Drosophila melanogaster: one gene and its partners. The protein of the gene in region 1 interacts with the protein of each later gene in a pairwise test. Each region holds a gene or a part of one and is shown on either strand. Other genes may lie near its edges.

Evidence for each region. Proteins that work in one complex are often made in the same cells at the same time.
Region 2: the proteins of ben (region 1) and Rnf11 interact in a two-hybrid assay, tested with the Drosophila melanogaster proteins (one large-scale study listed by BioGRID).
Region 3: the proteins of ben (region 1) and Iru interact in a two-hybrid assay, tested with the Drosophila melanogaster proteins (one large-scale study listed by BioGRID).

What each region holds. Positions count from the first base shown.
Region 1 is NC_004354.4:13,993,409-14,001,244, forward strand, and holds ben (bendless), read left to right. Parts: upstream 1-2,936; 5' UTR 2,937-3,115; intron 3,116-3,207; exon of another isoform or gene 3,208-3,389; intron 3,390-4,686; 5' UTR 4,687-4,752; coding exon 4,753-5,208; 3' UTR 5,209-6,397; downstream 6,398-7,836. Other genes in the region: Ste12DOR (stellate 12D orphon), read left to right, coding at 6,802-6,812, 6,870-7,370, 7,431-7,437. UniProt on the Drosophila melanogaster protein: Catalyzes the covalent attachment of ubiquitin to other proteins.
Region 2 is NC_004353.4:312,024-321,765, reverse strand, and holds Rnf11 (ring finger protein 11), read right to left. Parts: upstream 6,844-9,742; 5' UTR 6,587-6,843; intron 5,374-6,586; 5' UTR 5,350-5,373; coding exon 5,257-5,349; intron 2,318-5,256; coding exon 1,967-2,317; 3' UTR 381-1,966; downstream 1-380. Other genes in the region: Zip102B (Zinc/iron regulated transporter-related protein 102B), read left to right, coding at 7,920-8,018, 8,124-8,409, 8,468-8,976.
Region 3 is NT_033777.3:9,003,451-9,009,373, reverse strand, and holds Iru (iruka), read right to left. Parts: upstream 2,919-5,923; 5' UTR 2,661-2,918; coding exon 1,518-2,660; 3' UTR 1,344-1,517; downstream 1-1,343. Other genes in the region: CG11983 (uncharacterized protein), read right to left, coding at 1-410, 469-660, 744-788; Prosbeta3 (proteasome beta3 subunit), read left to right, coding at 3,303-3,920; CG11980 (uncharacterized protein), read right to left, coding at 4,124-4,865, 4,923-5,235, 5,299-5,323; CG31100 (uncharacterized protein), read left to right, coding at 5,784-5,833. UniProt on the Drosophila melanogaster protein: E3 ubiquitin-protein ligase that mediates E2-dependent, 'Lys-48'- and/or 'Lys-63'-linked polyubiquitination of substrates. Recognizes miRNA-empty Ago1 and triggers its degradation via polyubiquitination independently of the Bag6 complex.

The DNA.
Region 1 (7,836 bases):
CTCGAAAGCAAGAGCACTACGCTCTTTTAAAATGCATTTGTTTGCAAGTGCAGGCGAAAGAGAAGCAGAACAAATTCTGATTGGAGATGTTGCTAAAGTTCCTTCCTTTGGCAACATGCTGCTAAAGCGAATGTTGCGCGTTTCTCTGTCAGGATGAAAAAAAAATTGCTAATAAGAAATTCTAAGAAAGTTTCGAAGGAAATGAGGGGGGGGGGAGGCGGGGAACTCAGGTGCTAATTACCAAACAATACTGAGATTTATTTCCCCCCAGCTGAAGTGCTGTCAAAGTTTTGCGTTTTGAATATTACAAACAAAAAATCCCAACACAAATAAATACCATTTTTTACGTTCCCCAACTTACTCGGTACTTTAAGCTCTTGATTATTTTTGCAATCAATTTAACTTTTGCAGCATTTAAAACAAATGACTTATTTTTAAATAAAAGTCTTTCTTTACATCGTTTTTGATTTAATTAGTTGTTAACTTGCATTTTTTTAACATAATCAAATTTAATAATATTAATATTGTTTTGATATATGGAATAAACTGTAAGCTTAATAAATGGTTATTTACGATTGAATAAAAGCGAATACATCCTAAAACTATTTTGTTGGACTTCAACTAACTTAAAGCTTATATAAAAAGATATTGTGTTCATGTTAAATATTTTCTTTTTAAATTAATGTAAGAAATGGATAAACCATAACCAAGCGACCATGCGAATTTTATAAAACGCAACCCACCACCGGGAATTACAGGTCAGGAAAAAGAGCTAGTGAACTACGCCATGTTTTTGTAACTATGATAGAAAATCGTCGGCCATTAAAATGGGAAAACATTGAATACGAATAGTACTGAAGGAGCAGTGAGTTGTTTAAGTAATAATACTACTTACCAAATTATATTTCCTCTCTGATATGATTATGATAAAATCCCATTCAATTGCAAAATTAAGTTATAGACTTGTCGATTTTGCAACATTTTCATAGTAAAGCAATCGCTCTCCATTTTAGTTAATTTTTCTATCATTTCTCGGTGTTCTGAAAGAGGAAAAAATGCATTGAGGTTTTCTATTCCGATATATGTATGTACATATGTACATAGATACATCTATTATTTCAATGACTTATTGTACGAAAACCAAGAGAATTTCATTATATTCTACCACTAAAGAAGTGGCTATACTAGTCTTTCTTTTTCGACTAAATCTTCACTTTGTAGCAGAACTTTAAAACGTCCTTCGATTTGAATGTCTTCTTACACTCTTCACCTCGTCTTCTCTATCAATTTCTTCTCCCCTTTCCCCCCTCACTTTCTATCACATTCCTTTGAAGATCAGCTGTAGCGGTTAGAATTTGGCCATATCGAGCGTAAAAATACATAGAGGAAGGCACTAAAAACAGCTGCAGCTCAAGAGCGAATAAAGGTCGCCCCCGTTCCGCCCTCTCTTGCTCTTTCATCCCCTCTCGCACCAACCCACACACTTTCACACACACACACACACACGTGCACTGCGTAGGGAAAAGCAGCGCAGTTGCAGCAGAAAAACAGATAAACAGCAAAGCAGAAAAGAGGCAGGTTGCTCTCTCTCGCTCTCACTTGTGGGCTGGACTACAGTCGTTGTTGTTGGTTTGGCCAGCCTAAAAACGGAGATCGCACGTGTGTGTGTGTGTTTGTGTGCGGTGTGTGTAATGCTTATGGCTGTCTTGCTGTTGTTGGTTTTGTTGCCCTTTTGCAGTTGGTGTTTGTTTTTATCTCACACTCGCACACACACATGCAACCGGCCTATGCAATCGAACGAATACGAATGGTAAATAGCATGTGTGTGTGCGAGCGAGAGGTTTCGCTTGTTTTTTTTTGTATTTTAGTTTTCTGCCTTCCGCCTTGTGGTTTTTGTTGTTGCTCATTTCGGCTTCTTGTGCGTCCATTGGGCATTGCATTCGAGGTGTGTGGGTGTGAGTGCAAGTGCGCAGTTGTGTGTGTGTGTTCGGACAGCCTCTCTTTTTAAAAACGCATAAATGTTGATTACAGTAAATTGACAATTTGTTGTTGTTGCTATCTCGCTTTTTGGGTTTATGTTTTTGCACGTGTCTGATTGGAATCCTGTACCGGCTCCTTTTAGACTTGTTAAATAACGAAACCTATGTACAATCATTTTTTTAATCATTAATTTGCTATCGAATAATACTAAAGAAATAAAATTTATTTTAATTTGCATGCAATTTTTTTTTATTATAAGTCTTATTGTGATAAAAGTTTTTGGGAAACACATGGTTATGATGTTAAAAAGAACATAAAACCATATTAATAAGTGCTAATATGCAGTTCAAATATCGCTTTATAAAGTGCTGACATAAATGACCAAATTTCTCGAGAATTTTAGATGTATTTACCTTAGGTATGAAGTTAGGTTACATCTGATGAATATTAAAAATGCAAAGCATTGGTTTTAAGCAACGAAAACAAAGATCAAAGTCGTCGATTAAATAAATCCCGACTAAATTTATTGCTTATTCCCGGGAACTTACACTTTTTGTTACTTCTCTTTCGTGTTTCTTTCAACTGGATTTGTCCCGCCAATTTTCCAATCAAAATTTCTGACAGAAAAAAGCTAAGCGCTCCAAAACCTTGGGTTGTAGCGTGCCGAAGAGCTGATTGCTATGAAACACTGTCCTATTTGACAGCCGCTAAGCGCTAGAGTTGTCACCGAAAATGCGTTTTTACTAGTGCGAACAATAAAATTACCTGCGCAAAAATGGAAAAATGGGATAAAAAACAAGATGAGTAGCAAAGAAAATATTTAAAGATATATTTGTACTGAAATTAAACTGAGAAGGAGGTGCAAACGTGTTGCAAAAAAATTGAATTCACATCTAGGCACCCTAGCAACCCTGTCATTTTGACATTGCCGCTCACACGCACGCCACACAGACGCACGTTAGTCACAGCAACGCACACACACACTACCAAACGGCTACATTTTTTTTCGAGTGTGTTCGACATTCATAATTTTTGTGGTGGAGCTGCCTGCAAAATCGAATTTTATCAGTTTGCCAACGAAGTTATCGGCCATAACTGCAAATAAAGTTCAGCAATAACTTGGCGCTGTTACGATGTGAGTTTGTGTTTTATCGAAAGTTGCATACTTTATCTAAAAACCATTGTTTTTGTCCAAAAATGTTGTAAATGCCCGAAAAAATACCAAAGTGAGAACAACAACAACAACAGCAGCAAAAAAAAAGCAGGAGCAGCAGCAGCAGAAGAAGCAGAGGCAGCAGATAAAATTTAATATAATATCGAAGAAGAGCAAGAAAAAAGCCGTAAAAGTTGATAAATCGAATATATATGTGTGTGTGTGTGAAAAATAATAATTGCGGCGTTCGCACCAAGTATTCGCCGTTTTTTTCTATTAACTTAAATTCGCCAAAAAAGCGGCGTTTGCTTTTCTTCTTTTCTTGACTCGCCCTCTTTGTCTCACCCATCCGCATATTCTCTTTTCGCCTTTGTCTTTTTCGTGCGCGTTGTCTGCATTTTGTCTGTGTGCGTGGGTGCGTGACTCGCTGTGTCTGTGTGTGTGCGTATGCAAGCGAAATTGTTGCTTGTAAAAAAGAAAAATCTTATTTGGTTTTTTTTTTGTAGTTTAATTGCCAACATTATTGATTTTTCAAGCGGTTCACCCCGTTTCTCCCCCTCCGCATTCCTCCTGTCCAATCTGCTTCTTCTTCCTCTGCGGAACTACGTGCATTTGTCACCCAAAAGGGAAATCAATAAGTTGGTAAAACAGCGAAACGCCGCACATTATGGTTAAATTATTGCTGTTTTCGCGTTAATAACGCAATTTCTTTTGTTTGCTTCGAGTGTTTTTCGTTGCTGTTGTTGTTGCTTTCGCAATACAATTTCTGGAAATTTTGGGGCATTCATTTATTGCCTTTTGTTTCTGGTTTATCTGCGTCTTTCTTTCCCCTTCTCCTCTTTATTTTACTTGATTTTCCGTGTGTCTGGGAAATGTAAACAGTTAAAGGAGCCGCAAGGTCACGCTAAAGGAGTTGGCAATAGTGGGTGGGCTTTGACTTACACAAGCAGAAATTTATTTTGAACTTCGCAAAAAGTGTAACGGAAATAAATCCAGAAAATATTGAAAATATTGGTTTACAATATAGTCTAGATATCCAGAATCAAGTTAATAACTTTGAATTCCGTTCATATACTTCAATATAAATATTATTAAGTACTACAATTTGAAAACATCTTTAAATATACAACATATTTTGAATTAGTTTATTTTTTTTTTTAGCCACATAGAGACATCTTTGTGGCATGCTAAATTCTGTAGTAAAACTTTCTTGGGGAAAGTGAAAGCCACGTATCAGACCAAAATCCACCCAACCCTGCACACACGCATCCCCATAAAGAACGACCTTGAGCTGCAAAAAGGAAAATTCTCTTTGACTTGCCACGCTCTTCCCCAAGAAAACCAAGTGAAACTCCAATTTACTAATGCTACTATTTCACCGATACATGTAGTTGAGCCCTTATTTAAATTAGTAATTAGTTTAATTTCACAGTTGAAACCACGACTGTAAACATTAGGGATACTAATTTATAGTCTTAATTAACGTTGAGTGGATAGTGGATGATACCGAGGAACTACTTAATTGGTTAACTTCACTCCGATCTCGTTTGCAGCTCAACGAGAAGGTCCAGACTCAACCCGCGTTTCCAGTTCACCGCGTAAAAGGAACCAGCTAAACGATGTCCAGCCTGCCACGTCGCATCATCAAGGAGACTCAACGTTTGATGCAGGAGCCAGTGCCTGGGATCAATGCCATTCCCGATGAGAACAATGCCCGTTACTTCCATGTGATCGTGACCGGACCGAACGATTCGCCCTTCGAGGGCGGCGTGTTCAAGCTGGAGCTGTTCCTACCGGAGGACTATCCAATGTCAGCGCCCAAAGTGCGCTTCATCACGAAGATCTACCATCCGAACATCGATCGTTTGGGCCGCATTTGCCTCGACGTGCTGAAGGACAAGTGGAGTCCAGCCCTGCAGATCCGGACCATATTGCTATCCATTCAGGCACTGCTCAGTGCACCCAATCCCGACGATCCGCTGGCCAACGATGTGGCTGAGTTGTGGAAGGTCAACGAGGCGGAGGCCATTCGCAATGCCCGCGAGTGGACCCAGAAATATGCCGTCGAAGACTGAACGCCCGAGGTCAGGAGGAAAGTCAGAAAGCGGATCCGTCAGTTGTATCGGCGTTTTTCCAGAAAGTGGGTGCGTGACATGAACGGGCGGGTGGGTAAATTGAATACTTTAAAAGCAACCAGAAAAACCTAAAACATACGAAAGAAAACATAAAATAAGAAAAAAGTAAGGAAGCAAACATAAAAAAAAACGATTTAAGAACACATTTTTTTTTCGAACCTTCTGGGGCGGGATATACATATAAAATATTAATATATATATTTTTTTCAACCAATCGATCGGGGCGATCGGCGAAATGGAGGAGAGATAGCGAAAGCATTCTTTATGTAAGACGTATACATGTATCCGAAACAAACTAAAAACGAAAAAAAAAAAAAAAAAAAAAAACAGTAATTGGTTTTAGTCGTTTCTATTGATTTGTTCGAGGGTTCTGGTGTCTATATACATATAGCCGTATATAATTCTATGTGTAACTGAAATAACCAACCCATAACCATTAACACATGTAGCATCAGATATGATAAATCAATTGGAAAGGCAAACAAGAAGGGATTTTGATTTCCTTTAACTCGTCATTTGAAAACTCGGCTTAAATGTCAATTCAAAATAGAGAATTTTGATTGTATCATTTTCAGTGTTTCAGAAAATTTAAGATGTGATCGTCCAACTTGTAGACTTTACTTTTCTTAACTAAGAGTTCACCATTTCGATTGATACTTGAGCTTTGCCTGGGTTGTGTCAGAGTCCCTTTGATAAACGATAAATAGTTTTTACTCGAAAACAATTTTTTTTAACCAAACAATGAAGCCTTTAAGCTATTAGTAATTTTTGAAAAAAAAAAAAATAAAAAATATATATATAAAAAATATACAAAAATATGATACATGATCAAAATACAATGAATGCATACACTATATATTTATACAAAAAAAATACAAAAAGAAAAACAAAAGTAGTGGCTTGATTGCGTGAAAATTTCAAGTGCAGTTCTCAACAAAAATTGTGTACAGTAATTAAATGTTTGTCACCGAAATCACTAAAGGATAATCCAAAAAACAATAGCAACCGAAAAGCAACCATAAATCAAAGAGTAAGCGAAAATAAAAATTCAGTTTTCTTTAATTTTAATTAATTTTTTTCTAAGAAAAATAAATAAAAACGAAAAATTCAAATAAAAATTATAAAAAATAAACCGAGTTGTGTTTTATTTAAATAGTTAAGTGGTAATATAACTGAATGGTAAGTTTATTAATTAATTTAAGTGTTAAAAAATTACTGAATTTATAGGATTTTGATTTGGATACTATTTATAAATAGTATCAGCCGATGCTGCCTTGTCGAAACAATGACATTTGATTTGTTTTTGGCCCAACTGACACATAAAATATCGTATGCATAACATATTATGAAATAAAAGAACTAATACTTATTATGCCAGCCGAACATAAAACGAATTTTCGAGTCTAGAGTTCCCATCTGGAAGGGCATGACAGAGTCCTGGCAGGCCTTTTAGCACGTGTCAAAAACTCAAAGAAGAAGACGATGACTTTGAAGTCTACAAATCATATTTCTCTGAACAAGTGAACTGGCAACATGTCGAGCTCGTAAGTAACTAGGTTTTTCCTATAGAAATTATAGCAAGTCACAGTAAAATCTTGTAGCCAGAACAACAACAGCAGCTGGATCGATTGGTTCCTCGGGATCAAGGGCAACCAGTTCCTCTGCCGCGTGCCCACCGACTACGTGCAGGATACGTTCAACCAGATGGGCTTGGAGTATTTCAGCGAGATACTGGACGTGATCCTGAAGCCGGTGATCGATAGTTCCTCTGGCTTGTTGTACGGCGATGAAAAGAAGTGGTACGGCATGATTCACGCCCGATACATCAGGTCAGAGCGTGGCCTGATTGCTATGCACCGAAAATATATGCGAGGAGATTTTGGATCGTGTCCCAATATCTCCTGTGATAGGCAGAACACCCTGCCAGTGGGCGTCAGCGCTGTATGGGGCAAGTCAACCGTCAAGATCCACTGCCCACGGTGTAAAAGCAACTTTCATCCGAAGTCTGATACACAGCTGGACGGAGCGATGTTCGGGCCCAGCTTCCCGGACATCTTCTTCTCGATGCTGCCGAACTTGACATCGCCCCTGGACGACCCACGGTAAGTAATTCTCCGAATATAGTCCTGGTTGTTTTCTAAACAAAGCGCTTGCACTTGCAGTACCTAGGCTTTCGGTTGCACCAAAGAGCTTTGACGCAACTCAAATCGCCCAAGCCAAAGAATATAATATAATTAATTTTTTTCTAAAAAAAATAAATAAAAACGAATGATTCAAATTAAAATTAAAGATAAATCGAGTTGACTTTTATTTAAATTGGTAGTGTAACTGATTGGTAAGTTTATTCAATTTTATGTTTAACAAGAGAGAATGCTATAGTCGTACAGATATAGTCGTATATGGAATTCCGCGACTATCAGATACCCGGTACTCATCTAGTGTGTACGGATTATGAGCGGAGTCACCCGGTGCTTCAGCTGTCTTAACAGCGGATTAACATTTTATATATCGATGCTAATTGAACTGAACTGTATTCTTTCTTTCTCTCTTGTAATTTTGCGGTCATAG
Region 2 (9,742 bases), on another chromosome or scaffold:
CGTCTTCGTCGCGGCTAGCTATTTCTTGTAATTCTTCCGCGTTAATATTGAGCCAGCAGTAGGCAGTAAAACGGACAGAAACAAAAATGCGCGTATAGAGGCGCCCTAAAATAGTTCTATGAATATCGCTGTACTTGTATACATCTATAATCATATTTATTTGATTTGCCTAATTTTAAATTGAAGAGAAAATTTATTTTAATTTGTGTTGAATATTTTTATATATTCAATGAAACGTTTTTTTTTGAAGTATTATATATAATGTTATTATATATATAATATGAAAAATAAAAATCTATTTTTTCTTGTATTTTTAGAAAGAAAATTCTCTTTAAGAAAGTTATTTTTTTTTTAATCCATTTTTAAAATGTTATTCATTTAAATTTAAAATGTAAAATTTTATTTTGAAATAGAAAATTTAAAGTTGTTAAAGTTACACAAATTATTTGCAACTGAGTATATATACTCAGTGGCAGAGACATGGAAATTTGATAGTGCTAATGTGGTTGGCTCACAAGTCACAATTTACAATTCAATAGGATTTTAAAAAAAATCTCCAACCACATTTTTTAGTATAAAGCCTAGCATAAAGTTTTGTTAGTATTTCCAAGCAGCGGTTTCCCGCCTCGGCTTGGGTTTATTTTAATTCTAGGGCAAATTGGGGCATTTGCATTTAAGCAGCCCGTTTGCGTGTCTTCGCACTTTGGCGAAGTTCTTGTTCAATGGCTTCCAAACGCTCTTGGTAGCGTTGTCGTGCTGATTCTTCTTTTGCCAACTGGGTCATTTCCTTGACCAGTCGGCGTTGTTGTAGTAGTTTAATCCTCCGTCCTGAGCGTTTGTGCTTTCGTAGTTGTTTCTTCTCCTGCCGTGCCCGGTACTCAGCTACTGTGAGTGGGCGTGGTCCATCGGCGTTGTTTAACCGCAACGCTTCCTCTAGCGTTGGCTGGTCCCGTTGCACTTGTGGTTGTGCATTGGCGAATTGTGGCTCGTCTGCCATCAATCGCCGCTTGTTCTTCTGTGTGTGCTGTGTTTGCGTGTTTTTGTGCGTTTTTGTGTGTGTTTTTGTGTGTTTTTGTGCTTTGTTTGTTTCAATTGAACATATATTTGCATTTAATGCGTCCAAGTACTACAAGTACATTTTAGTTATGTTTGTGTGTTCACACGTTGAATATAATAGGCACAAAATGTTGTTTTTTTTTTTTTTTAACACAAACACAATACACGATACATAATCACAATACACAGAGGCACAACACAGAGGCAGACTCGAGACCAAGTCACGGTCGCCATGTAATAAGTAATAAGTAATAGCTCAGTGTAATAGATATTGAATAGCTCAGAGCGTCTGTTCCGTTTGAATCGTTTTATTTGAATGAATCCTATGTTGCTGTCTTTGGGTACAGCTACCCGTACATGGTGTTCTTACATATTGTACATATTGTATATATTGTATATACATATACATGTGTATGCAGAAGGCATACATATGTTATGTATGGCTTGACCACTTGAGCTGCTAAGTGCATGCTCAGCATTCTCACGCTCCGCGATCGGCTTATGTATAAGCGTTAGATCGTATTTCATTGGCTGGAGTGTTTATGTAAGTGCATGTGGTCTTTGATGTGAATTATGTTTATTTGTGTTTGCAACAAAGTGTCACAATGTATGTACGTTACTTATATATATGTAGAGTAGAGTTATAGTGAGGGTAGATACACTACAATATATACACAAACTAATTTGGATTTCAAATTCTTCAGCTCCTTAGTATTGCAATTATGATTTTGGTTATCGCTAAAATGAATTAAATATTATAACATGTTTCGATAATAAAACAATAACAAATTTATATAATAAAGAATAAAATTGAAATATATAAAAGATTAATTTATACTTGGTAAGCAAAGGTTTTGTTATCCCAAAACACATTACAGCAGCAAAATTGTAAGCTAATGTTTTTATAACGCTATGTCGATTCATAACTCGTCAGCAAGGCAGCATCAACAGGCTCTAAACAACTGGGACAAGTTAGACTTCTCAACAACCAATCATCTATACAATTAACATGATAAATATGCATGCAAGGTAGATAACGTACGGCTTCATTAACACAAAATTCAGCCATGCAGATAACACATTCTCGTGCTTTCTTTGAGCTCCCGTCGTATGTTCCTATTGGCAAGTACTGCATTAATCCAATTCGCTTTGCAATTTTCACTTGATTTTCATCGGAAAGTTGACGATTGTTAGAAGATGGTGTTAGCGTTGTCGAAGACGACGTGGAAGGGTACAATTCTCGTTGATAATGCTCTCCCTGCTGAAATTAAAGTTTCATTAAATCCAATGGATATACTTTATTTCAAATTCGTTAAATCAAAATGTAGATTATTATAATATTATAATTATTGTGAACGTTGAGACGGGCTAGATGCCACATTGCGCGAAGCGAGTTGCGAGCTCAATCGATAAAGAATACGATTTTTTGGCACACGAATTTTTCGCCGTGGCTCTAGAGGTGGCTCCAGGCTCTGGAATTTTTGTCGAGAGCGGAGAGCGCTACAGCAAATAGCTCTTTTCTGCGCATACAGTGATAGCAGACAAATGTATGTGTGCACACGTATGCTCATGCATTGTAAACTTGACAAAATATGCCCTTCACCTTAGAAGATCTTAGACTTTAAATCTATATTATTTTTGATCAATTGGCACCATGCGAGAAATTCTTGGTTTGCATTGCCTTAACGTTTCTAAATAAAGCTTAGAAATAGTAATAGCCGAATCATAACATCACGAAAAAATTTCAAAAATGACTTTATATTAGAATATATATATATATGTCATATATACATGTCATTAGAGTATTCAGCTTGCGACGTGTGAATAATTTTTAATAAGGCATTGTTGAGTGCTTGTGTCCGCACTTTGTGCCTCAAGATATGACTTTTGCAGTAAACAGTTTTCATATTTTTATTTATTTTATAAATTTTTATTTTCTACTACGTATTATTTTTATGAAATATTTATTTTTCAACGTAATGTCTTCTTTCTGGAAAATTTATGTTTTAAATTACAGTAGTTATAATAATTTCCTTTGTATTTGCTTTAATTATTTAGTATATTTATTAAGTCATTTGACTTAATATGATGTATATAAATGATCCAATTTTATTATTTAAAATGCACATTAGATTCAGTTGTTCAGTTTTTTTATTTTTTGTTATATTCCAATTTGATATTTTTAAAAAGCGCGCAATTTCATCATATTGCTACGAAATTGGCCAAAACTCCCCAATTATGTAAATTCGTTTCTTCGATAAGAATTGATTTCGTCCCGAAAATCGTCTTCTAGCACAACACGCACACATAAACGCATTCTCGTCTCTTGTTTTTACTCACACAATCAAGCCAATTCAATTTTTAGATGTCTTACGCTCTCAGCGTAAGCGAGCGGAAAGAGAGCAATTTTGGACGTCCCCAAAAAACTGACTGTATAGTGCCAAACCAATGTAGAATGGCCGTTACGCATCTTGTTATTCTATCGTCTTTGGTACGATGTTGTATACTGTGCTTTTATTACCGTTTATTTTCAAAACACATGTTTTTTTGTTTTGGTTGCCCAATTCTTCATCAAACGACTTCTAATTTTTTTTTTTAATATAATCAAAAGTCGAAGTAGACATTAAAGAACCTTTCTGAGTGGTTTCGTTAGTGATTACATAAATAAATTCGCCTTTTAGCCTTTTCCATTTATATTGCAGTTAAGGGATTGGACGCCAGTTTTCTTATTAACAGAAAGCTAAAAGTTGTGGTTGATGCAAAAAATTCCTCGTCCGAATCCATCACGTTCACATTAATAACTAAAAGACAGCAATGTTGCTCGATTCTCGCAAAGCACTCACTCTGCCATCTTCTTGCTTTGCTCATAGCTTCTGGCTTCGCTTTGCTTCTCGCGCGCACTCTGCCGTCAGAAATCAATTGAGTTAAATTACTCGCTGAAAAACATGTAACAGGCAGAAGACAGCGGTTTCGACCCTATAATGTATATTAATTCTTGATCCGAATTAATAGCCGTGTCGATCTGGCCATACCGATCTTTGTATATGAAAGCAATCTTCATAAAGCATGAAGATTATAGACAGATTGTTTTCAATTGTGGGCTCTCATAGCAAGCAAAACGGCCACGTCCACAATTTTTATCGATTTGACAAAAAACATTCTGCTTCGACCACAACAAACCTCCCAAAACTGCCACGCGCACTCTTTTAAAAAAATGTCTGATTTTTTTTTCATATAGACATCCAGATACTTGCAGCCTGTTGAATATCCTTCTCGTGTATGTTTTGCACTACATTGACATTGGACTTTAATTCTAAGGATATTTATATACACGCTTGTTTAGAGGGAAGTACCAATACATAGCTAAGCTTCGTACTGCAAGTATATTATCGCTAAAAGATTTATTATACTATTTCATACGCGATTTGGCTTGGCTCGTTTTAAACTTTTCGATGAACACTAATACATCACACAACGGTTATACATTTATTGATGCATTACCTTTCGTCGACACTGAACAAATCGTAGTAACTAATAATAATACAAAACGAGAAATTCATTAAACTCTATGGATGTTTGATTACGATTCGGCACTCAACGTTAGAAGAATCCTGTTTTTGCCAATTCTGGACGCCAGAAGAAGGTATAAATATTCGTGATCCATCTATTCTTAAAAACCTTGGACGTTTTTATTTATTTTCATTTATTATTTATTTTTTATTATTTCATTTTATAAACGTTTAAAACTTACATATACAGTACCAATCCCCAAGAAATCTTTAAAATGCCCAATAATTTCCTTTTTTTTGATTGCCAAGTAATCCATAATTCCTCAAAAATTTATAGCGATGCCATTTACTTTACTATTTAATAGTATCTTACAAGTTAGAAAAATTTTTCTTCTCAACACTTTTATTTTCGGGAAATTTTTTTGAAACTGTCACAGAGAAAACTGAGTATAAAAATACATTATTTTGCAAATATCTTCGTTAAGAATAATCAAAAAATTAGTTTCGAAGGCCAGGTTTTATACAAAACCTTTGCTTTAAAAATAATTATTGACCAAGAATATTTCGATAAACTCATAAAAAACATTTTTAATGTAATTGTTGAAGATTAAAAGACTACAAATTAGTAAATTTTGGACTTCTTTAAATCGACGATTATCGTTAAAACTCGCACCCGTGCATTGGTACTTACATGATACACTGGCTGTGTCCCGCTGATTTGACTGTCATTGCCGCGTAAAAGTGAAATGTCATCTGAAGTGCTAATTTTTAAGCAATTACCCATTTCATGCGTTTTTCGAAGATTTAACTGAAATATATGCACACGTAAAGAAAATTTATACGGCTCGTTTTATCTTGTATTTTAGTTAAGTTGTAAAACTTTATATTTAAATGCAGTGTAAGCTTTTTTTTAAAAGTTGTACATAACAAACACAAAGTAAAAGGAAGATCAAAGAAGACCATTTACGCGACCGAGCCAAAGAAAAGCTTTTTTTTTTTGTTTTAGCGAACGAGAAAAATCACGATTGCAAAAATTTCCGATTGGGAAACCAAAACCTCTATATGCAGCTCCCACATAGAGCTTAAATCTTGAAAGTTGTGCGGCCACAAGGATTAAGGAAATACCTGCCGCCAATAGACCTGGCCGAAACTAAAGAAGACATAAAAAGTGGAAACTGGTTGGGCCAAGGAGCAAAATTGGTCTCGAAGGTAAATAGTGTTTTTCTACCAAACTTGCATCGTAGTTTGATGGGTAACATATGTTTTTTGACTTCATATCACCCCACATCTGCAAAATCTCGATGTGTTGTTTATCGATAAAAGATTGCCAAGACATAAAAATATTCAAAAAAAAACGAGTACCGCGTATAATGATATAAAATCTAGGATCTGTTATAGTTAATATTTCTACACCTTTACTTAAAAAAATTTTTGTTTCTTAACGGAAAAAACTGAAGAAAACTTTCCATTCCTTAAAAACTGGAAATTGATATATGATATGATGATATTTTTTTCATATGGACGTCTAGATACTTTCAATCTGTTGAATATCCTTATCGTGTATGTTTTACACTACATTGACATTGGACTTTACTTTTAAGGATATTTATACACACGCTTGTTAAGGGGAAGTACCAATCGCTAAAAGATTTATTATACTATTTCATACGCGATTTGGCTTGGCTCGTTTTAAACTTTGCGATGAACACTTGTACATCACACAACGATTGTTTATTTATTGATGCATTACCTTTACTCCGCACTGAGCAAATTGTAGTAACTAATAAAAAAATAGTGTTACAAAACGAGATATTCATTAAATTATATGGATGTATTTGTTTGATTACGATTCGTCACTCAACGTTGGAAGAATCCTGTTTTTGCCAATTCTGAACGCCAGATGAAGGTGCAAATATTCGTGATCCATCTATTCTTAAAAACCTTGGACGACTTATTCTATTTTCATTTAATTTTATAAGTTTATCGGAAATTAGCAAAATAATGAAACGTTTAAAACTCACATATACAGTACCAATTAGTACCAATCCCCAAGAAATCTTAAATTAATAAGTACGCATGCATGTATATAAAATGCACATATGTATACACAACTTTCATAATAAACAGAAACAATTTAGTTAGTTGATTTAAAAAAAAAAAAACATTAAATGTGACTTTCTTTGAAATTAGACTAGATTCGATTTAATAAAGCCTGATTTATTCCATATGCTTAGACTTTTTACCTATTTGACAATAAATAAACCAAAATCAACAGTGCTGTTAATAGTATGACCTTAGGTTACCAAACTGTTTATGTAAATGGTGTAATACACGTTGTGCACTGAGATAAATTACATTCTCACGTTGCGCTATACAATCATAATACGGAATACAACCCTCCATGTAGTACGAGAGAGTGATGTATCCCTAAATAACTTATTAAATAAATAAATTATAAGGATCTAGAATTTTTTATGTTATGTGATTTCTGACGATATATAGATAAGCCAAATGAGCAATTATTGTAGGATAACACACGGTGACACCAGGAAAATACTATATACCGCACACTTTAATATATTTACAGAATTTATTTAAAATATTAAAATTAACTGGTGACCGATCATAACCAGTAAAAGGTAGAGCAACTACTATAGGTTTTGCGAACAAGTTAAATTTTCCGATAAACAATAGCTTAAAGAAAATTTGGTTCACTAGCTCCATTCGAACAATTATTCTTAAAACCATTAAAGGTTTTTTCTTTTTTTTAAATTTCACATGAGAGCAAATAAAAAATCGGTTAAAAGTCGGTTGAGAATGCTTGGTACTATTTCTAAATATATATTATATATAAATTATATATATTATATTATATTATATAATATTATATATATTATTATATATTATATTATATATATTATCTTATATTATATTATATATATTATATTATATTATATTATATATGTTTTATATATATTATATATAAATTAAAAATGGTATCATACATTTGTATCGGACCATCTAAAACCGTTTTCAATAAGTTTGTATAATAAGCCAGTGGGTAAGACATGAAATATAATAACTTAAAGGTATTGTTCACAGTCTGGGAAAATTTCGTACGTCTGTAGGATCGCGAGTTTTAACGGGATGAGAAGAAAACAAATTGTATAGTTCTGTTGTGGTATGAGATGTTAATTTGGTTGAAGTGTTATTGTAGAATATGGTATAAGTTCCACAGTTGGTTGCTGCTATATGCGTTGTTAAAATGTTAATAAGGCTCATCTCTAGCGATTGAGTTGGCAAAAACATGTAGCTTTGATGGTATTATGCTCATTAAAATTAAGTTGGGCAATCATGGCTGAGGAGACAATAATTCTCATTTTATTAGTGTTGGTTATGCTTGTGGGGTCTTATTTGGCAGGGAGCATACCGATGCTGATGAAATTAAGCGAGGTCGGTACTAAACAATGGCATTTTAAATACAAAAAAAATTTAATGTGAGGTATTTGGAGCACCACTAGTGCATTAATTTGTTCTACTTAATAAATGTCATTAAAGGAAAAGCTAAAATGTGTCACTGTGCTGGGAGCTGGATTGTTAGTGGGAACTGCTCTCGTTGTTATTATTCCGGAGGGCATTCGATCATTGTATGTGGGGAGTGGCCAATCCCAAAAACGGACATCAGTTCCGGAGCAACCAGATTACTCACAGACCATTGGACTTTCTCTTGTGCTTGGATTTGTCTTCATGATGTTGGTGGACATCTCTCAGCGGAAGAGTAATGTTGGAAGTAATAAAAAAAACAATGCCACACTAACTCTTGGATTGGTTGTGCATGCCGCAGGTAAAGAAGCTTATATTGGTGTACCCACCATATCTTAAAAATTGTTGTTCTTTTGCAGCTGATGGAGTTGCATTGGGAGCAGCTGCCACCACTAGCCATCAAGACGTTGAGATAATTGTATTTTTAGCTATAATGCTTCATAAGGCACCAGCAGCATTTGGATTAGTGACATTCTTACTGCACGAAAAAGTAGACAGACATCAAATTCGCAGACACCTAGTCTTATTTTCCCTGTCGGCTCCCCTTATGACTATTTTAACGTATTTTGGGATCGGACAGGAGCAGAAGGACACGTTAAATTCCGTGAATGCCACTGGTATAGCTATGCTATTCTCCGCTGGAACATTTTTGTACGTAGCAACTGTGCATGTTTTACCAGAGCTTACCCAAGGGGGATTTACGAAAAGCGATCAGCATGATTATTGTTTGCTAGAGGAATCTCGAGGTGTTGCTACGAATGATATAAATGGAAGCAATAGTATTCAAGCACTAAAATATAGTGAATTGGTAATTCTGATTTGCGGCGCACTGCTACCCCTAATTATAACATTTGGACATAATCACTAGTAATGTAGTAATACATATATTTTTGTCAAATAAGATGAAGTAAAAGTTAAGGGATATTAAGCTATAAATATATTGGGTTTAATTTCTCGGATATACAATTATTAACATTAAGTGCTTTGCACAAAGATTTTGAATTTAATGAATTGTCGCATGAAAGTCAAATTTGGTACCGACGTCAACTTTTGTCAGCTTTCTGTAAAGTTGAGTGATTTGAGAGGCCTTATACGAGAATGTATTGTGAGTAAACCAAGCAAAATGAGGAAGGTCAAAAAGTAGTGCAAGAAATATTTTACTTTAATATTTAGACTTGCGCAGGCAGGAATAGTACGCAAGTCGGCGCCGAATTCATTGGCATCAGAATTTTGACTCCGGCTCCTATATACTATATGTTAATTTATAATTATATATGTTTTTATTGTATTTAATAACAATGGATAGTTTACGTTCTCAGAATGGTAGTAAAAAGTAAGAGACGGTTTAAAGGCAGCTTGGCAATGTCACCATTGGTTTACTGGATAACGTCTTCTGTTACGGCCTTAGATTACGGATTTCTATAACTACTTCTGCTATGACTTTCTACATTTATAGATACCTTTCTGCGTCTTTTCTACTTTAATTCTGCTCAACTTCTTTGCGGAATATTTTTCGCGCGTTCTTTATTTCCGCTGTTCTTGTCTTGTCTTGTAAATATGAATCATATCTTAGCAAAGATCTTTAAAAACTTCTTTGGCTATAAATGATGTGTATTATGGGCACTTCTCTTCTA
Region 3 (5,923 bases), on another chromosome or scaffold:
ATATGATTAAGATCAGTAGGCTCTTCTCCAAACAACATGGCCAACTCCTGGGCCACAGCATCTTCGGTTTCGGAGTAGAGAGATTCTTGATTGGCTAGGGGCTTATTCTCTGGGGTCATGATCTTACTACGGCAATGTGGGCAATGCGTTTCGTTCTGAACTTCCGACCGTTCGAGACTAGCCTGAAACATATCGATTTTTCTACGCAGCTCATAGCTATCATCATCGTAGTCCTCCGTAGGAGTTATGTGGCCATTCTGGGCTTCTATGACGGTTGTTTGTGTGGCCTTATCCACCAGACGGTGGTCTGTTTTTACGGGCACAGCATCCTCTCCAGCTGCATGCTGCATTTGTTCAAATAGAATGTTGGCCAAACGGCATTCCTGAGTGTTCCTACGTACCGCAGCTATCTGTCGGTATACAACTTATATGAACATGGCATAATATATGTATCTGGGAACCTTGTACCGTTTTGACCATGGCTCTTTGGTAGATCTGTGCCGCCATGGAAGCCTTCTTCGCCTTGTTCTCCAGTTGCTCCAAGCTCGCGGGAATGCACGCCCAGGCTGTGGGCTTGTGGCGATTACGGGATTGGTTGGCCCAGGCGCAGACATTCTCCTGCAGCTGGCGCTCCAAATAGAGCACATATTGCTTGCGCACCTACGCAAAATAAACAAAAAAGTTCGGAAATAAACAAAAGTCTTCCCCAACAAATATTACATAGTTGGCTTGCTAAGACATACCACGTCGGTGAGCACCACAAAATCGTTACTTCCTTCGTGTGTCATATTATTTCGTTGGTCACGGCGTTATATTCTTCACTTCAATTGACTTTACGCATTTTGGCGGAGTTCTTAAACGGTTAAGTCAGATTTTCAGTCAAATGGGAATTTAAACAATTTGACGGAGCTGCCACCCTGTGAGGAACATATGCTTCCCGGAATAGTATGACCAGACCGTGTGAGCCAATAAGCTTCCTTTAGAACTTTTCGAAGTTTACAACCAGGATCAGACGAGACAGTAAAAAAATAAACAATAAAAATTGAAGTGTATCCACCTGAAAAACAAAAACACCGTTTACTTGTTGTCAATAAAGTTTAAGAATAATATCAAGTTTGAAGTCTAGACTACAATAGATGTTTATTTTAGAAAGTATTTTAATTTTACACGTTCGAGCTGCATGTTATTGAAATAATTCATTAAAGGAATTTCTTGAGGCAAGCACAGAGTCAGTTCCTATTTTGATTATGTAAATATACACGACACGCATATATGTACAATACAAGTTCCATTACAAAGAAAAATAAGCAACTACGCGATACGATAAACGAGAGTTGATTTTTGCAGAGCCAACGGAATCGTATGTCCCGTTTTGTTTATTACAAATCGTTATTTTGAACAACAACAAAATTAAGCGTGAGGAGAAACTATTATAAATATATATGCGGCCAATATTTGGCTTAATTTTGAATATCAATCGATCATCGCTCCACTTCGATTTAGCATCGCCCTACCAGCTAGTCCAGAAACATGTTGTCGTCGTCAAAGGTAAAGATGTTGTTGCGTGCTGCCTGGGCGGGATTAGCATCCGGACGTGTTCGGCCGCCTTCCGCCGCTGCCTGACTGGGATTATTAGCCGGCGAGGGATTGTCCGTTCCTGTGGCGGTGCTGGCCGATCTCCTTTCGGAATTACTGCCATCGGCCGCCATCTCTGGTCCGAAGGCATCGAGCATGACAAATTCGTCGTCCGCATCGTTGCCATCGTCTGCCAGTGACTTGCGGCATATGGGGCAGGTGCTGTGCAGGTTTAGCCAAGGCACGATGCAGTTCTCGTGATACAGGTGCGAGCAGGGCAGCTTGCGTACCGTCTCGTCAATCTTGAAGTCGTCCCAGCATATAGAGCACTGGATCTTGCGGTTTACCTCCTCGGCATTGATCTGCACATTGGGTATCTCGTTTATGCGCTGCGCCGACAATGGCGGCGGTCCTGAAGTTTCCATTTGGTTGAGCATTTGGGTGACAATGGTGTCTAGTCCCTCTCGGCCCCACGCATAATCTCCCGGGTTTCCCATGAAGAACATGTGCGAGTTACCGCCGCCGCCTACACCTCCTCCACCGGGTCCAGTTACTATTTCGGCCGTGGCGCCGGCCAGTGGCAGGCTCTGCAGAAAATCAAAGAGAACATTGTCCAGTCGGTCCAAATTTGCCGGACGCACTCGTCCGCCGGCGGTCAGGCCGCGGGCAGAGTCACTACCCGAGGGACCACCAAAGCCGCCTAGATGCAGCACGTTGCTGTGCCGTCTGTTTGGCTCGATGGTAATTTCCAAGTTGGGCACATTCCGCATGTTTAGCAGCGACACAATATCGTTACGCAGCGACTCAACATTCACCTGAGATCCGCTCGATGAGCTGCCTCTGCTCAGGGTGTCGTGTGAGCCAGAAGAGCCACTACCGCTGCTTCCGGATCTGGCACTGCCGGATGCTCCAGCCGTCGAAGAATCCATCTCCGGCGCATTTGCCGGCAGCTCCTCCACGAAACCGTTGGCGCACAGCGGACAGGTGAAGTCTGAGTTGGGAATGTTGATCTCCACGTTGCACATGTGGCAGAAGAATCGCTTGGCTTCCGCGGGGCGGTCCTCCACAACCATTGCCTCTGCCATCCTGCGGTAGGTTCTTTATTTCCTGGGCAACGGCTCCACTGACGATTGTGCAAGACTGTCGCCTTCCGATGATGTAGGCTGCTTGCGGCTGTAGACGTTGATGTGACAAGAGGAGGACAAGGTACACGCGCCTAGCTTTACCCGGTCATTGGGTTCAGTCGGAACAATTGGGAGTTTAAGGGATAGAATTTAATTTTTCTATAAATAAGGGCCCCTTACAAAGTGGCCTTTGCCGCAGAGGAGAATAAATCCCAACTGATTGACGCGGCCTGGTCACACTGAAAGCTAATACTGGCATATTAACATTTGGATCTTTTATTACTTCAAAAGGATCCAAATGATAAGAAAAATGCGTTTTAACATTCGCGGAGATATTTTTGCATTTTTAAACATTTTATAACTTTAACTTGTGTTTAAAAATACTAATACTTAAAAAATACTTAAAAAACGCGATTCTTTTTGAAATCTCTTTAGTAGGCGTTGCCAGTTCTATACAGCCAGTCAGTATTAGCCCATCTTACACTCGCAGTCTGGCAACGCAGAGCAGAAACAAAAAGTCATCTTCCCAGGCGGCTTTTAGCATTTTGCAAAATTTCCATTTTTCTGCTGATTAAATTGAGCTAAGCGAATAGCAACGACACCATGTCGATTCTAGCCTACAACGGAGGATGTGTAGTGGCCATGCGCGGAAAGGACTGCGTGGCGATTGCCACGGATCACCGATTCGGCATTCAGGCTCAGACGATCTCCACGGACTTCAAGAAGGTGTTCCACATCGGCCCACGGATGTTCCTCGGGCTCACAGGCCTGCAGACGGACATCCTTACTGTTCGCGATCGCCTGATGTTCCGCAAGAATCTGTACGAGACACGCGAAAACCGTGAAATGTGTCCCAAGCCCTTCTCGGCCATGATGTCCAGCTTTCTGTACGAGCACCGCTTTGGCCCGTACTTCATTGAGCCGGTCGTTGCTGGCCTGGATCCCAAGACCATGGAGCCTTTTATCTGCAACATGGACCTGATCGGCTGCCCCAACGCACCCGATGACTTCGTTGTGGCCGGCACCTGTGCGGAGCAATTGTATGGCATGTGCGAAACCCTGTGGAAACCCGATCTCGAGCCGGACCAGCTGTTTGAGGTCATCGCCCAGTCCATTGTGAACGCATTCGATCGCGACGCCATGAGCGGTTGGGGTGCCACCGTCTACATTATCGAGAAGGACAAGATCACGGAGCGCACACTGAAGACCCGCATGGACTAGATGATGTTAGAGGTTCCCTTGGTGATTTTGTATACATTAACCGAAATACACATACAAATAAAATTTGTTTAGGTACAACATGTGCGTATTTCTTTTCCGTATAACGTAATAACACCAGAATTAAATGCGTAATAACACCAGAATTAAATGCGATCTAATTATTGTTTTTCAATTTCAAAAGCATAACTTTAAGTCGTATTATATTATTGCTCTTCTGTCCACTCGGTGGATTTCTTGGCCAACAACATGGCAGCCTCCTCGGTTTTTGCCCCGCCAATAAATCCTGTGTGATGGATGAATTCGAGATCTTTGATGCTCGCCTTATCGCATAGTTCATCGTCCATCAGTCCGCGCCAAGGAGTGGGCAGAAATTTGCGGCCCAGATAGCTGCCAGGCGTCACTGGAACTCCGGCCACTCGCCAACTATTGCCGCTGTTGAAGACGACCAGCTTGGGCACACCCTCCACCTTGTACTCCTTTTCAAGATCGAACAGATGAGACTTCCAGGGGCAGAAATTCTTCAACACAAGAATCTCGCCGGTGGGATGGACGTTCTTGGCATTTTTAAGAGCCTCTCGTACGTGATCCCGGGCTGGAATCCAGGAACATGATACCTCCACAACGTTGTCCACAAACTCACGACCTGCAGTATCCATCGCCTGTCTGAATCGGTCTTCGATGTCTACGCCAGTTTCCTGCCAGGACGGATTCAGTTTGGCAATGCGGGCAGATAGATGAGTGGAGATTTTGTATATAGGCTCAACGCCCTCGAACATGGGCACTCCATTATCAATTGCGTCCAGTTCGTTGATAAAATTCCTATAGATCTGAATAAAGGCCGTTTGCAGGTTTTCCGGTGAGAGTTTAATTCCCTTTTCGCGCTGCAGGATGCTCTGTATAACACGCTCGCCATAGTGACAGTAGACCAGTCCAGCACTGCTTAGCCTGGAGGGGATTACATTGGATTATACGGGTTCATTTACGCTAACACCACGAATTCACCTGACAACGTTGTAGTCCTCGCTTACATCTGGGCGAACGGAACTAAAAGTCTCCTTGAAGGTTATTTGGTGGTGATCGTACAATTTCTTGGCATGATCATAAACGCCGCCCACGTCGACAATTATATCGCACTTCTCCTTCAAAGCCTTGTTGTCCCGACTGCGGAAAATCTCTGCGTTTTTGTACTCATCCAATTGCTTGAGCATAAAACATGCGACCAACTCGTCGCAGTGAAAAGTGCCGCTGTGTGTGCCGATCCAAAGGGGAGAGCGTTTTGGTGGGGTAACTCCAGTCATTATAGATAGTTTTCCTGCTTCAAAACATTCAGTTAAGCCCAGATATTTCAATTAATTTCGGATTGTAACCAAAAACTTACGAAAACGAGGTAACAATCGGAACATTAGCGACGGTCTTTTCCTCCATTTAATATCGATATCACAAGTTTTTATAACTTGATATGGCAACACGCGTTCAGCTTAAATATATAAAAACTGCAGCGTGGCAGCACTGGTAACGGTTTTTTAAGCCGCAAACAATTAACAACATTTTAATTAAATACGTTTTATAGGCAAGTTGGATTTTAATATAATAATATATGAAAATTCAGTGAAATCTGTACCAAGCACTGCCAGCTTATCAAAGAACTTCGCCCCACACCAATCGATTGCATGGGCGTTTGTGCTTATCCAATAAATTAGCATTCGCTTGCTAATTTGTAAAACAACAACTCATAGGGACCACATCAATTTTTTGGCTGCTTAGTAGAGAATTATTGGCTGAAAATTTTAGTAAGCCTTTGGAACTCAAGACCCACGAATGGATACATTGGATAAAATTGACTAACCACAAGGATTTACCAAAATGGCAGAAGCCCGTTTGCGCCGAAATATAAGTCGGCAAGTACCCGCAATGTAAGAGTGATTAGTTTAAAAGATCATTAAAAACGCGCGGGAATCGGAAAGCTTAAAAATACATTACTGACCCACTGCGTGGCATTGCTT